4 linked regions of the Saccharomyces cerevisiae S288C genome follow. The gene in region 1 interacts genetically with each later gene. Each region holds a gene or a part of one and is shown in the gene's direction. Other genes may lie near its edges. The genes, in order: GAL2, GAL7, GLO2 and GAL10.

Region 1 (4,298 bases):
ACTCCTGGAAAGAACACAAAGGGTTCACTTTGGTTGAAACCTGAATATTCAATAAAGGATGCAATGACAATAGAGTGGACGTTTAGAAGTTTCGGGTTCAGAGGCAGCACAAAGGGGGGTCTTGCATTTTGGCTGAAGCAAGGAAATGAGGGAGATAGTACCGAGTTATTTGGTGGAAGTTCGAAGAAGTTTAATGGTTTGATGATATTGTTACGATTAGACGATAAGTTGGGAGAGAGCGTGACAGCGTATTTGAATGACGGAACAAAAGATCTTGATATTGAATCCTCACCGTACTTTGCGTCATGTCTGTTCCAATACCAGGATTCCATGGTACCATCAACATTAAGATTGACTTACAATCCACTAGATAATCACTTGTTAAAGTTGCAAATGGACAACAGAGTGTGTTTCCAGACAAGGAAAGTTAAATTTATGGGCAGCAGCCCATTTAGGATTGGAACAAGTGCTATCAACGATGCATCCAAAGAATCGTTTGAAATCTTGAAAATGAAGCTTTATGACGGAGTTATAGAGGATTCGCTAATTCCTAACGTGAATCCTATGGGACAACCCAGAGTGGTTACTAAAGTGATCAATTCTCAAACTGGTGAAGAGAGTTTCAGGGAAAAGATGCCATTTTCTGATAAGGAAGAAAGTATAACGAGTAACGAGCTTTTCGAAAAGATGAACAAGTTGGAGGGGAAAATCATGGCAAATGATATCGATCCATTACTCCGCAAGATGAACAAGATTGTGGAGAATGAACGTGAACTGATTCAACGTTTAAGACCACTGTTAGATCTGAAGAAAACAGCCATAAGTGACGATAGTTTCCAAGATTTTCTTTCGATGAACGCAAACCTGGACAGATTGATAAAAGAACAAGAAAAAATTCGACAAGATGCCAAGCTGTATGGCAAGCAGACCAAAGGTCATGATGAGATATTTTCCAAAATAAGTGTATGGTTGGCACTGCTGATTTTCATTATGATCACATTGGCGTACTACATGTTTAGAATTAACCAAGACATCAAGAAGGTCAAACTTCTGTAAGCTCTTGTGTCTTTGTTATATGGGTACAAGATATAAGAAACATAACTATTACATACGAAAATGTGCATGTTATCTATATCCTTCTTTATATAGATGCTGTTAACTTCTTTTTTTTTTTTTGGGAAAATCAACTGTTAAACGCGACAGTAAAAGCAGCAAAACATTAATTTTGCTTCCAAGACGACAGTAATATGTCTCCTACAATACCAGTTTCGCTGCAGAAGGCACATCTATTACATTTACTGAGCATAACGGGCTGTACTAATCCAAGGAGGTTTACGGACCAGGGGAACTTTCCAGATTCAGATCACAGCAATATAGGACTAGAAAATATCAGGTAGCCGCACTCAACTTGTAACTGGCAACTACTTTGCATCAAACTCCAATTAAATGCGGTAGAATCTTTTCACAAAAGGTACTCAACGTCAATTCGGAAAGCTTCCTTCCGGAATGGCTTAAGTAGGTTGCAATTTCTTTTTCTATTAGTAGCTAAAAATGGGTCACGTGATCTATATTCGAAAGGGGCGGTTGCCTCAGGAAGGCACCGGCGGTCTTTCGTCCGTGCGGAGATATCTGCGCCGTTCAGGGGTCCATGTGCCTTGGACGATATTAAGGCAGAAGGCAGTATCGGGGCGGATCACTCCGAACCGAGATTAGTTAAGCCCTTCCCATCTCAAGATGGGGAGCAAATGGCATTATACTCCTGCTAGAAAGTTAACTGTGCACATATTCTTAAATTATACAACATTCTGGAGAGCTATTGTTCAAAAAACAAACATTTCGCAGGCTAAAATGTGGAGATAGGATAAGTTTTGTAGACATATATAAACAATCAGTAATTGGATTGAAAATTTGGTGTTGTGAATTGCTCTTCATTATGCACCTTATTCAATTATCATCAAGAATAGTAATAGTTAAGTAAACACAAGATTAACATAATAAAAAAAATAATTCTTTCATAATGGCAGTTGAGGAGAACAATATGCCTGTTGTTTCACAGCAACCCCAAGCTGGTGAAGACGTGATCTCTTCACTCAGTAAAGATTCCCATTTAAGCGCACAATCTCAAAAGTATTCTAATGATGAATTGAAAGCCGGTGAGTCAGGGTCTGAAGGCTCCCAAAGTGTTCCTATAGAGATACCCAAGAAGCCCATGTCTGAATATGTTACCGTTTCCTTGCTTTGTTTGTGTGTTGCCTTCGGCGGCTTCATGTTTGGCTGGGATACCGGTACTATTTCTGGGTTTGTTGTCCAAACAGACTTTTTGAGAAGGTTTGGTATGAAACATAAGGATGGTACCCACTATTTGTCAAACGTCAGAACAGGTTTAATCGTCGCCATTTTCAATATTGGCTGTGCCTTTGGTGGTATTATACTTTCCAAAGGTGGAGATATGTATGGCCGTAAAAAGGGTCTTTCGATTGTCGTCTCGGTTTATATAGTTGGTATTATCATTCAAATTGCCTCTATCAACAAGTGGTACCAATATTTCATTGGTAGAATCATATCTGGTTTGGGTGTCGGCGGCATCGCCGTCTTATGTCCTATGTTGATCTCTGAAATTGCTCCAAAGCACTTGAGAGGCACACTAGTTTCTTGTTATCAGCTGATGATTACTGCAGGTATCTTTTTGGGCTACTGTACTAATTACGGTACAAAGAGCTATTCGAACTCAGTTCAATGGAGAGTTCCATTAGGGCTATGTTTCGCTTGGTCATTATTTATGATTGGCGCTTTGACGTTAGTTCCTGAATCCCCACGTTATTTATGTGAGGTGAATAAGGTAGAAGACGCCAAGCGTTCCATTGCTAAGTCTAACAAGGTGTCACCAGAGGATCCTGCCGTCCAGGCAGAGTTAGATCTGATCATGGCCGGTATAGAAGCTGAAAAACTGGCTGGCAATGCGTCCTGGGGGGAATTATTTTCCACCAAGACCAAAGTATTTCAACGTTTGTTGATGGGTGTGTTTGTTCAAATGTTCCAACAATTAACCGGTAACAATTATTTTTTCTACTACGGTACCGTTATTTTCAAGTCAGTTGGCCTGGATGATTCCTTTGAAACATCCATTGTCATTGGTGTAGTCAACTTTGCCTCCACTTTCTTTAGTTTGTGGACTGTCGAAAACTTGGGACATCGTAAATGTTTACTTTTGGGCGCTGCCACTATGATGGCTTGTATGGTCATCTACGCCTCTGTTGGTGTTACTAGATTATATCCTCACGGTAAAAGCCAGCCATCTTCTAAAGGTGCCGGTAACTGTATGATTGTCTTTACCTGTTTTTATATTTTCTGTTATGCCACAACCTGGGCGCCAGTTGCCTGGGTCATCACAGCAGAATCATTCCCACTGAGAGTCAAGTCGAAATGTATGGCGTTGGCCTCTGCTTCCAATTGGGTATGGGGGTTCTTGATTGCATTTTTCACCCCATTCATCACATCTGCCATTAACTTCTACTACGGTTATGTCTTCATGGGCTGTTTGGTTGCCATGTTTTTTTATGTCTTTTTCTTTGTTCCAGAAACTAAAGGCCTATCGTTAGAAGAAATTCAAGAATTATGGGAAGAAGGTGTTTTACCTTGGAAATCTGAAGGCTGGATTCCTTCATCCAGAAGAGGTAATAATTACGATTTAGAGGATTTACAACATGACGACAAACCGTGGTACAAGGCCATGCTAGAATAATGCGTTTGAAGTGAGACGCTCCATCATCTCTCTTAATTTTTCATGACTGACGTTTTTTCTTCATTTTAATTATCATAGTATTTGTTTGAAAAAAAAAAAAAAAAATTTCCCTTATCAATGATATCCTTACGATTATATAAATTCCTTACCTAAACCTATTATTTGTGTACATATATCAGAGTATTATTACATATATAACCTTTTTCTCTAAAACAGGAAAAAAAAAAGAAAACGATAACATGCTCTGCCATCCTTTGTTCACCGAGCAAAATTAAAAACGCAAAATGAATTGTCCCTATGAAATTATTAAAGGACCACATCACCAGACTTATCTCTGGGGGGTCCTCTAGAAAATAAGTCAGGTACTTGCCTGGACTTTCTTCCAGTTGAATTCCTGAGCTAACATACAATTAATGGAGTGAGAATGTTCGAACGATCCAGGAGTTGCTTTTTTCAGTCATTTGTTTATCAGTGTAACAAGCATTTCCTTTATTTCTTTTATATCAACCTGCAACCTATTAATATTCAATTCAACGTCTCGGAGCTTTTCTCGTAC
Region 2 (3,662 bases), on another chromosome or scaffold:
CCGGTAAAGGTTCTACAGTTTTTGAAGTTTATCATGCATTCTGCAAAGCTTCTGGTATTGATCTTCCATACAAAGTTACGGGCAGAAGAGCAGGTGATGTTTTGAACTTGACGGCTAAACCAGATAGGGCCAAACGCGAACTGAAATGGCAGACCGAGTTGCAGGTTGAAGACTCCTGCAAGGATTTATGGAAATGGACTACTGAGAATCCTTTTGGTTACCAGTTAAGGGGTGTCGAGGCCAGATTTTCCGCTGAAGATATGCGTTATGACGCAAGATTTGTGACTATTGGTGCCGGCACCAGATTTCAAGCCACGTTTGCCAATTTGGGCGCCAGCATTGTTGACCTGAAAGTGAACGGACAATCAGTTGTTCTTGGCTATGAAAATGAGGAAGGGTATTTGAATCCTGATAGTGCTTATATAGGCGCCACGATCGGCAGGTATGCTAATCGTATTTCGAAGGGTAAGTTTAGTTTATGCAACAAAGACTATCAGTTAACCGTTAATAACGGCGTTAATGCGAATCATAGTAGTATCGGTTCTTTCCACAGAAAAAGATTTTTGGGACCCATCATTCAAAATCCTTCAAAGGATGTTTTTACCGCCGAGTACATGCTGATAGATAATGAGAAGGACACCGAATTTCCAGGTGATCTATTGGTAACCATACAGTATACTGTGAACGTTGCCCAAAAAAGTTTGGAAATGGTATATAAAGGTAAATTGACTGCTGGTGAAGCGACGCCAATAAATTTAACAAATCATAGTTATTTCAATCTGAACAAGCCATATGGAGACACTATTGAGGGTACGGAGATTATGGTGCGTTCAAAAAAATCTGTTGATGTCGACAAAAACATGATTCCTACGGGTAATATCGTCGATAGAGAAATTGCTACCTTTAACTCTACAAAGCCAACGGTCTTAGGCCCCAAAAATCCCCAGTTTGATTGTTGTTTTGTGGTGGATGAAAATGCTAAGCCAAGTCAAATCAATACTCTAAACAATGAATTGACGCTTATTGTCAAGGCTTTTCATCCCGATTCCAATATTACATTAGAAGTTTTAAGTACAGAGCCAACTTATCAATTTTATACCGGTGATTTCTTGTCTGCTGGTTACGAAGCAAGACAAGGTTTTGCAATTGAGCCTGGTAGATACATTGATGCTATCAATCAAGAGAACTGGAAAGATTGTGTAACCTTGAAAAACGGTGAAACTTACGGGTCCAAGATTGTCTACAGATTTTCCTGATTTGCCAGCTTACTATCCTTCTTGAAAATATGCACTCTATATCTTTTAGTTCTTAATTGCAACACATAGATTTGCTGTATAACGAATTTTATGCTATTTTTTAAATTTGGAGTTCAGTGATAAAAGTGTCACAGCGAATTTCCTCACATGTAGGGACCGAATTGTTTACAAGTTCTCTGTACCACCATGGAGACATCAAAAATTGAAAATCTATGGAAAGATATGGACGGTAGCAACAAGAATATAGCACGAGCCGCGGAGTTCATTTCGTTACTTTTGATATCACTCACAACTATTGCGAAGCGCTTCAGTGAAAAAATCATAAGGAAAAGTTGTAAATATTATTGGTAGTATTCGTTTGGTAAAGTAGAGGGGGTAATTTTTCCCCTTTATTTTGTTCATACATTCTTAAATTGCTTTGCCTCTCCTTTTGGAAAGCTATACTTCGGAGCACTGTTGAGCGAAGGCTCATTAGATATATTTTCTGTCATTTTCCTTAACCCAAAAATAAGGGAAAGGGTCCAAAAAGCGCTCGGACAACTGTTGACCGTGATCCGAAGGACTGGCTATACAGTGTTCACAAAATAGCCAAGCTGAAAATAATGTGTAGCTATGTTCAGTTAGTTTGGCTAGCAAAGATATAAAAGCAGGTCGGAAATATTTATGGGCATTATTATGCAGAGCATCAACATGATAAAAAAAAACAGTTGAATATTCCCTCAAAAATGACTGCTGAAGAATTTGATTTTTCTAGCCATTCCCATAGACGTTACAATCCACTAACCGATTCATGGATCTTAGTTTCTCCACACAGAGCTAAAAGACCTTGGTTAGGTCAACAGGAGGCTGCTTACAAGCCCACAGCTCCATTGTATGATCCAAAATGCTATCTATGTCCTGGTAACAAAAGAGCTACTGGTAACCTAAACCCAAGATATGAATCAACGTATATTTTCCCCAATGATTATGCTGCCGTTAGGCTCGATCAACCTATTTTACCACAGAATGATTCCAATGAGGATAATCTTAAAAATAGGCTGCTTAAAGTGCAATCTGTGAGAGGCAATTGTTTCGTCATATGTTTTAGCCCCAATCATAATCTAACCATTCCACAAATGAAACAATCAGATCTGGTTCATATTGTTAATTCTTGGCAAGCATTGACTGACGATCTCTCCAGAGAAGCAAGAGAAAATCATAAGCCTTTCAAATATGTCCAAATATTTGAAAACAAAGGTACAGCCATGGGTTGTTCCAACTTACATCCACATGGCCAAGCTTGGTGCTTAGAATCCATCCCTAGTGAAGTTTCGCAAGAATTGAAATCTTTTGATAAATATAAACGTGAACACAATACTGATTTGTTTGCCGATTACGTCAAATTAGAATCAAGAGAGAAGTCAAGAGTCGTAGTGGAGAATGAATCCTTTATTGTTGTTGTTCCATACTGGGCCATCTGGCCATTTGAGACCTTGGTCATTTCAAAGAAGAAGCTTGCCTCAATTAGCCAATTTAACCAAATGGTGAAGGAGGACCTCGCCTCGATTTTAAAGCAACTAACTATTAAGTATGATAATTTATTTGAAACGAGTTTCCCATACTCAATGGGTATCCATCAGGCTCCTTTGAATGCGACTGGTGATGAATTGAGTAATAGTTGGTTTCACATGCATTTCTACCCACCTTTACTGAGATCAGCTACTGTTCGGAAATTCTTGGTTGGTTTTGAATTGTTAGGTGAGCCTCAAAGAGATTTAACTTCGGAACAAGCTGCTGAAAAACTAAGAAATTTAGATGGTCAGATTCATTATCTACAAAGACTGTAAAAAGAAAGTGGAATATTCATTCATATCATATTTTTTCTATTAACTGCCTGGTTTCTTTTAAATTTTTTATTGGTTGTCGACTTGAACGGAGTGACAATATATATATATATATATTTAATAATGACATCATTATCTGTAAATCTGATTCTTAATGCTATTCTAGTTATGTAAGAGTGGTCCTTTCCATAAAAAAAAAAAAAAAGAAAAAAGAATTTTAGGAATACAATGCAGCTTGTAAGTAAAATCTGGAATATTCATATCGCCACAACTTCTTATGCTTATAAAAGCACTAATGCCTGAATTTATGTTGAAAATATGTGTCACAAATAAAGAAACTGTGACATCTGACACATTTCCACTTTATTGACAAGAATAGAATTTCTTTAAGTTTCCCCTCTAGATTATTTATTTTCAAATTTTAGGCTCTGTTGAAGTTTATTACGTAGAAATTCCTACGATAGTTATTAGTCCTAATTGGATGTTGCAGCAAGGCTCATTGTCGGTGTCGTTATCGATGGAAATCCTGCACCTATGTTATTACCCTCTTTTCGTAGTTTTCTGATCCGGGTTATAGAGTTTT
Region 3 (3,064 bases), on another chromosome or scaffold:
GGGATCCTAATTTTGGCAGTATTGACTTTCTTTATTTGGTGTTTTATTTTAAACATCTCGGCTAATCCTCCCGTCGCTTTCACCGCAAATACTAAGGCTGATAATTTTTTTATTTGCTTACAAACTGCTACTTCTGTTGTCATCGTCGCATGCCCATGTGCATTGGGACTTGCCACGCCGACTGCTATAATGGTGGGTACAGGGGTTGGAGCTCAGAATGGTGTCTTAATAAAGGGCGGAGAAGTATTGGAAAAATTCAATAGTATTACTACTTTTGTTTTTGATAAAACAGGTACCTTAACTACAGGTTTTATGGTTGTGAAAAAGTTCCTTAAAGATTCAAATTGGGTTGGAAACGTGGATGAAGACGAAGTTCTCGCCTGTATAAAAGCAACGGAATCCATTAGTGACCATCCAGTTTCGAAAGCAATTATACGTTATTGTGATGGTTTGAACTGTAATAAGGCTTTAAATGCCGTTGTTTTAGAAAGCGAATACGTGCTTGGAAAGGGAATAGTCTCAAAGTGTCAAGTTAATGGAAATACTTATGATATTTGTATTGGGAACGAGGCGCTGATTTTGGAGGATGCATTAAAAAAATCCGGATTTATTAACAGTAATGTCGACCAAGGAAACACTGTATCATACGTATCAGTAAACGGGCATGTGTTTGGCTTGTTCGAGATTAATGATGAAGTTAAACATGATTCTTACGCAACAGTTCAGTATCTACAAAGAAATGGATATGAAACGTATATGATTACTGGCGATAATAACTCAGCAGCAAAAAGAGTCGCTAGAGAAGTAGGTATAAGCTTCGAAAATGTTTACAGCGATGTGTCACCCACAGGCAAATGTGATCTCGTGAAAAAAATTCAAGATAAAGAAGGTAATAACAAGGTTGCTGTTGTTGGCGATGGCATTAACGACGCTCCCGCTTTAGCACTGAGTGATCTAGGTATTGCCATTTCAACAGGTACGGAGATTGCTATTGAAGCAGCTGATATTGTTATACTGTGCGGTAATGATCTGAATACTAATAGTTTGAGAGGACTGGCCAACGCCATCGATATTTCACTAAAAACGTTCAAAAGAATAAAGCTGAATTTGTTCTGGGCACTTTGCTATAATATATTCATGATTCCGATTGCTATGGGTGTGCTCATTCCTTGGGGCATAACTCTTCCTCCAATGCTCGCCGGTTTAGCGATGGCATTCAGCTCGGTCAGTGTCGTTCTAAGTTCATTGATGTTGAAGAAGTGGACTCCACCGGATATTGAATCACATGGGATTTCAGATTTCAAGTCCAAATTTTCGATTGGGAATTTTTGGTCAAGGCTTTTTTCTACGCGGGCTATTGCAGGTGAGCAAGACATAGAATCACAGGCCGGACTAATGTCAAACGAAGAAGTCTTGTAAATAACAGGTAAGTCTAATTTATTTAAAAAAATCCACGAGCATATAGATTTATAACAATAATAATAATTAATATTCATCAATTTTTTAGTAAATTCATATATTTTACTCCTACTCTATGTATTTTCAGTAAGTCTACTAGTCGTATTACCCGTCGGTTTCAAGGGATATTATGGAGGTAATAAGGATTTTTTTACCGATTTAAAAACCCATTATATCCCTCTTAGAAAAATTTTAGTATTCTTAGATAAGTTGCTAGATTTACCAATATCAAAGGGAAGACTGCAGGACAACACAAAAACACAAGAAAAGGAGGACAAAAAATGCAGGTTAAATCGATTAAAATGAGATGGGAGTCTGGTGGTGTTAATTACTGCTATCTATTGTCCGACAGTAAAAATAAAAAATCGTGGCTAATCGATCCAGCAGAGCCTCCTGAGGTTCTGCCAGAGTTGACTGAGGATGAGAAAATAAGTGTTGAAGCAATTGTTAATACACATCACCATTATGACCATGCAGATGGTAACGCTGATATCTTGAAGTATTTAAAAGAGAAAAATCCAACTTCAAAAGTTGAGGTTATAGGAGGGTCAAAGGACTGCCCAAAGGTTACGATAATTCCGGAGAATTTGAAAAAGTTACACCTAGGTGACTTAGAGATTACTTGTATTAGGACGCCCTGCCATACCAGAGACTCTATCTGTTATTATGTGAAAGATCCAACAACAGATGAGCGCTGCATTTTTACTGGCGATACACTATTTACCGCTGGTTGCGGTAGGTTTTTTGAGGGTACAGGCGAAGAAATGGATATAGCTCTGAACAATTCTATCTTAGAAACTGTGGGCAGGCAGAACTGGAGTAAAACGAGGGTTTATCCAGGACACGAATACACAAGTGATAATGTAAAGTTTGTTCGTAAGATTTACCCGCAAGTTGGTGAAAATAAAGCATTGGATGAGTTAGAACAATTCTGCTCCAAGCATGAAGTCACAGCAGGGCGGTTCACTTTGAAAGATGAGGTAGAATTTAATCCATTCATGAGATTAGAAGATCCAAAGGTCCAAAAAGCTGCCGGAGATACGAATAATTCATGGGACAGAGCTCAAATTATGGATAAATTGAGAGCTATGAAAAACCGTATGTAGGAAAGCCAACAGAGTATAATATACTTAAAAATATTCTTTTAGCATACCCTTTTATTTCAATGTATAAGAGTTTTTGGAACGCTACTTTATAACATTCAGGTCTGTTCACTAGAACTCTTGTAGTTGTGCCGTCATAAAAATTAGTCTTCGCGTGGCTGAAAGAAAAGTTCCAATAATACGGGCGGCTCGAGTAGAGTAATCATTGCCGTCACAAAACCATTTTCGGGTAGAAATAAAGCAATGGATATTTGAGCTCCAGAATTAAAATGGCTTTCCTTTTGCGGTTTACTATCTACTTGACTTTGGCTGGTATTTAAACACAAGTAAGAGAAGCATCAAACATGGGAAAGAAAAATAGAAAGGGAAAAGAAAATAATGCTGCTAAAACCTCTTTTCTAAAAGTAGAGAATATTAAAAACACTAATTCGGGATTGGAGCTTCCATCGCAAGACTATACAAACGTTGAAGAAAAAGAAAGTAGCCCGAAAACTGACTTTCCA
Region 4 (4,680 bases), on another chromosome or scaffold:
CCCCAGCCAGCTCCGGTCAAACGGGAACCATATGATCCATTTGACAAAGCAATGGAACAAATTTTGTCAATCTCTGGACAAGAACATTCGTAAAGTTTATCGCAAGAAGCTTGAGACTCGTTCATCAAGGCACCAAATTGCTTGAAAAAGTCTTCGTCGGCAGTAAAGCTCGCTGTAGTCATTAATTTCACAGCCTTCAAGACTCTTAAAGATTCAGAATACACATGCTTAGCCCTCTGATATAGCTTTAAGACTTGAAATCTCACTGGAGATGTTGTTAAGTAGTCTCTTGTGAATTCTTCGCGAGAACAATTCAAGGATTGTGCGACATCGTCAACACTAAAGCCCTGTTTCTTATTGGCGAGAGACTCTTCAACTAGTACTAGCATCTTTGTTAACCGTTCGATGCCGGATTCAATATCGCCGTTCCAGGGTGTGGAAATGTTGTGATATCTGGCATAATAAACGTTCATGAAATCTCTTAGATTACCTTTATTCGTGCTCGATCCTTCTTTTCCAGAAAGTAAAACAACACCGTACGTGGCAGCTAAAACATTTGCAGCTGTAGTGACTTCTACCACTCTTAAATTATAGTTGGTTGGGGCGGTTTCAAACTTGTTAGATACAACAAGGGTGTTCGCAATAACAAAGCTAATTTCATGGTTTTTTAATTGCGGAAATTTAAACGGAGTAGCCTTCAACTGCGGTTTGAACTCAACGTATAGAGCATGATCTTCCTCACCGCAAACAGAGGCAGCCTGATCCATACCGCCATTGTTAACACCAACATAATGTTCTGCAACGACCGTAATACGCATTAAATTTTGCTTGGACATATGATAACCAGGGCCCATATTCGCTTTAACAACAGCTAAAGCAACGGCACAAATGAATGCGGCCGAAGAAGACAATCCACTGCCAGTTGGTACATCACCCTCACAGAAGACTTGCAGCCCGGCCAGAGGAGCACTGGCAAACCTTTCCGGTGCAAGTTTCTTTAGAAAAGAGTGAGCAACATGGAGACCACATTTAAAGTAATTAGACCAGTCCGACACAGAAGGATCAATTGTGACATAAGAACCGTCCAACGGCAAATCGAACTTCCTTTGAGCAAATTTGGGATCAGCATTTATTAAGGTAATGGATGGATTTTTCTCGTTCAAAACTTTGACGGCGCAAAGCATATCAAAATCAATAGCTAAAGGTAAAACCGAGAAGTCACAATAATCAATATGTTCACCAATTAGATTGACTCTACCAGGCGATCTAGCAACAAAATCCGGTTTAGCATCATAAGCGCTTATAAATTTCTTAATTATGCTCGGGCACTTTTCGGCCAATGGTCTTGGTAATTCCTTTGCGCTAGAATTGAACTCAGGTACAATCACTTCTTCTGAATGAGATTTAGTCATTATAGTTTTTTCTCCTTGACGTTAAAGTATAGAGGTATATTAACAATTTTTTGTTGATACTTTTATGACATTTGAATAAGAAGTAATACAAACTGAAAATGTTGAAAGTATTAGTTAAAGTGGTTATGCAGCTTTTCCATTTATATATCTGTTAATAGATCAAAAATCATCGCTTCGCTGATTAATTACCCCAGAAATAAGGCTAAAAAACTAATCGCATTATCATCCTATGGTTGTTAATTTGATTCGTTAATTTGAAGGTTTGTGGGGCCAGGTTACTGCCAATTTTTCCTCTTCATAACCATAAAAGCTAGTATTGTAGAATCTTTATTGTTCGGAGCAGTGCGGCGCGAGGCACATCTGCGTTTCAGGAACGCGACCGGTGAAGACGAGGACGCACGGAGGAGAGTCTTCCGTCGGAGGGCTGTCGCCCGCTCGGCGGCTTCTAATCCGTACTTCAATATAGCAATGAGCAGTTAAGCGTATTACTGAAAGTTCCAAAGAGAAGGTTTTTTTAGGCTAAGATAATGGGGCTCTTTACATTTCCACAACATATAAGTAAGATTAGATATGGATATGTATATGGTGGTAATGCCATGTAATATGATTATTAAACTTCTTTGCGTCCATCCAAAAAAAAAGTAAGAATTTTTGAAAATTCAATATAAATGACAGCTCAGTTACAAAGTGAAAGTACTTCTAAAATTGTTTTGGTTACAGGTGGTGCTGGATACATTGGTTCACACACTGTGGTAGAGCTAATTGAGAATGGATATGACTGTGTTGTTGCTGATAACCTGTCGAATTCAACTTATGATTCTGTAGCCAGGTTAGAGGTCTTGACCAAGCATCACATTCCCTTCTATGAGGTTGATTTGTGTGACCGAAAAGGTCTGGAAAAGGTTTTCAAAGAATATAAAATTGATTCGGTAATTCACTTTGCTGGTTTAAAGGCTGTAGGTGAATCTACACAAATCCCGCTGAGATACTATCACAATAACATTTTGGGAACTGTCGTTTTATTAGAGTTAATGCAACAATACAACGTTTCCAAATTTGTTTTTTCATCTTCTGCTACTGTCTATGGTGATGCTACGAGATTCCCAAATATGATTCCTATCCCAGAAGAATGTCCCTTAGGGCCTACTAATCCGTATGGTCATACGAAATACGCCATTGAGAATATCTTGAATGATCTTTACAATAGCGACAAAAAAAGTTGGAAGTTTGCTATCTTGCGTTATTTTAACCCAATTGGCGCACATCCCTCTGGATTAATCGGAGAAGATCCGCTAGGTATACCAAACAATTTGTTGCCATATATGGCTCAAGTAGCTGTTGGTAGGCGCGAGAAGCTTTACATCTTCGGAGACGATTATGATTCCAGAGATGGTACCCCGATCAGGGATTATATCCACGTAGTTGATCTAGCAAAAGGTCATATTGCAGCCCTGCAATACCTAGAGGCCTACAATGAAAATGAAGGTTTGTGTCGTGAGTGGAACTTGGGTTCCGGTAAAGGTTCTACAGTTTTTGAAGTTTATCATGCATTCTGCAAAGCTTCTGGTATTGATCTTCCATACAAAGTTACGGGCAGAAGAGCAGGTGATGTTTTGAACTTGACGGCTAAACCAGATAGGGCCAAACGCGAACTGAAATGGCAGACCGAGTTGCAGGTTGAAGACTCCTGCAAGGATTTATGGAAATGGACTACTGAGAATCCTTTTGGTTACCAGTTAAGGGGTGTCGAGGCCAGATTTTCCGCTGAAGATATGCGTTATGACGCAAGATTTGTGACTATTGGTGCCGGCACCAGATTTCAAGCCACGTTTGCCAATTTGGGCGCCAGCATTGTTGACCTGAAAGTGAACGGACAATCAGTTGTTCTTGGCTATGAAAATGAGGAAGGGTATTTGAATCCTGATAGTGCTTATATAGGCGCCACGATCGGCAGGTATGCTAATCGTATTTCGAAGGGTAAGTTTAGTTTATGCAACAAAGACTATCAGTTAACCGTTAATAACGGCGTTAATGCGAATCATAGTAGTATCGGTTCTTTCCACAGAAAAAGATTTTTGGGACCCATCATTCAAAATCCTTCAAAGGATGTTTTTACCGCCGAGTACATGCTGATAGATAATGAGAAGGACACCGAATTTCCAGGTGATCTATTGGTAACCATACAGTATACTGTGAACGTTGCCCAAAAAAGTTTGGAAATGGTATATAAAGGTAAATTGACTGCTGGTGAAGCGACGCCAATAAATTTAACAAATCATAGTTATTTCAATCTGAACAAGCCATATGGAGACACTATTGAGGGTACGGAGATTATGGTGCGTTCAAAAAAATCTGTTGATGTCGACAAAAACATGATTCCTACGGGTAATATCGTCGATAGAGAAATTGCTACCTTTAACTCTACAAAGCCAACGGTCTTAGGCCCCAAAAATCCCCAGTTTGATTGTTGTTTTGTGGTGGATGAAAATGCTAAGCCAAGTCAAATCAATACTCTAAACAATGAATTGACGCTTATTGTCAAGGCTTTTCATCCCGATTCCAATATTACATTAGAAGTTTTAAGTACAGAGCCAACTTATCAATTTTATACCGGTGATTTCTTGTCTGCTGGTTACGAAGCAAGACAAGGTTTTGCAATTGAGCCTGGTAGATACATTGATGCTATCAATCAAGAGAACTGGAAAGATTGTGTAACCTTGAAAAACGGTGAAACTTACGGGTCCAAGATTGTCTACAGATTTTCCTGATTTGCCAGCTTACTATCCTTCTTGAAAATATGCACTCTATATCTTTTAGTTCTTAATTGCAACACATAGATTTGCTGTATAACGAATTTTATGCTATTTTTTAAATTTGGAGTTCAGTGATAAAAGTGTCACAGCGAATTTCCTCACATGTAGGGACCGAATTGTTTACAAGTTCTCTGTACCACCATGGAGACATCAAAAATTGAAAATCTATGGAAAGATATGGACGGTAGCAACAAGAATATAGCACGAGCCGCGGAGTTCATTTCGTTACTTTTGATATCACTCACAACTATTGCGAAGCGCTTCAGTGAAAAAATCATAAGGAAAAGTTGTAAATATTATTGGTAGTATTCGTTTGGTAAAGTAGAGGGGGTAATTTTTCCCCTTTATTTTGTTCATACATTCTTAAATTGCTTTGCCTCTCCTTTTGGAAAGCTATACTTCGGAGCACTGTTGAGCGAAGGCTCATTAGATATATTTTCTGTCATTTTCCTTAA

What was found.
Region 2: mutations in GAL2 (region 1) and GAL7 impair growth when combined (synthetic growth defect), as found in Saccharomyces cerevisiae (2 studies listed by BioGRID, with this or other methods).
Region 3: mutations in GAL2 (region 1) and GLO2 together harm fitness more than expected from each alone (negative genetic interaction), as found in Saccharomyces cerevisiae (2 studies listed by BioGRID).
Region 4: mutations in GAL2 (region 1) and GAL10 impair growth when combined (synthetic growth defect), as found in Saccharomyces cerevisiae (2 studies listed by BioGRID, with this or other methods).

Annotation. Positions count from the first base shown.
Region 1 is NC_001144.5:288,195-292,492, forward strand, and holds GAL2 (galactose permease GAL2), read left to right. Parts: upstream 1-2,017; coding exon 2,018-3,742; downstream 3,743-4,298. Other genes in the region: EMP46 (Emp46p), read left to right, coding at 1-1,056; SRL2 (Srl2p), read right to left, coding at 4,200-4,298. UniProt on the Saccharomyces cerevisiae protein: GAL2 is a facilitated diffusion transporter required for both the high-affinity galactokinase-dependent and low-affinity galactokinase-independent galactose transport processes.
Region 2 is NC_001134.8:273,847-277,508, reverse strand, and holds GAL7 (UDP-glucose:hexose-1-phosphate uridylyltransferase), read left to right. Parts: upstream 1-1,981; coding exon 1,982-3,082; downstream 3,083-3,662. Other genes in the region: GAL10 (bifunctional UDP-glucose 4-epimerase/aldose 1-epimerase), read left to right, coding at 1-1,256.
Region 3 is NC_001136.10:1,007,271-1,010,334, forward strand, and holds GLO2 (hydroxyacylglutathione hydrolase GLO2), read left to right. Parts: upstream 1-1,739; coding exon 1,740-2,564; downstream 2,565-3,064. Other genes in the region: Cu(2+)-transporting P-type ATPase CCC2, read left to right, coding at 1-1,419; DON1 (Don1p), read left to right, coding at 2,906-3,064. UniProt on the Saccharomyces cerevisiae protein: Thiolesterase that catalyzes the hydrolysis of S-D-lactoylglutathione to form glutathione and D-lactic acid.
Region 4 is NC_001134.8:275,753-280,432, reverse strand, and holds GAL10 (bifunctional UDP-glucose 4-epimerase/aldose 1-epimerase), read left to right. Parts: upstream 1-2,080; coding exon 2,081-4,180; downstream 4,181-4,680. Other genes in the region: GAL1 (galactokinase), read right to left, coding at 1-1,412. UniProt on the Saccharomyces cerevisiae protein: Mutarotase converts alpha-aldose to the beta-anomer. It is active on D-glucose, L-arabinose, D-xylose, D-galactose, maltose and lactose.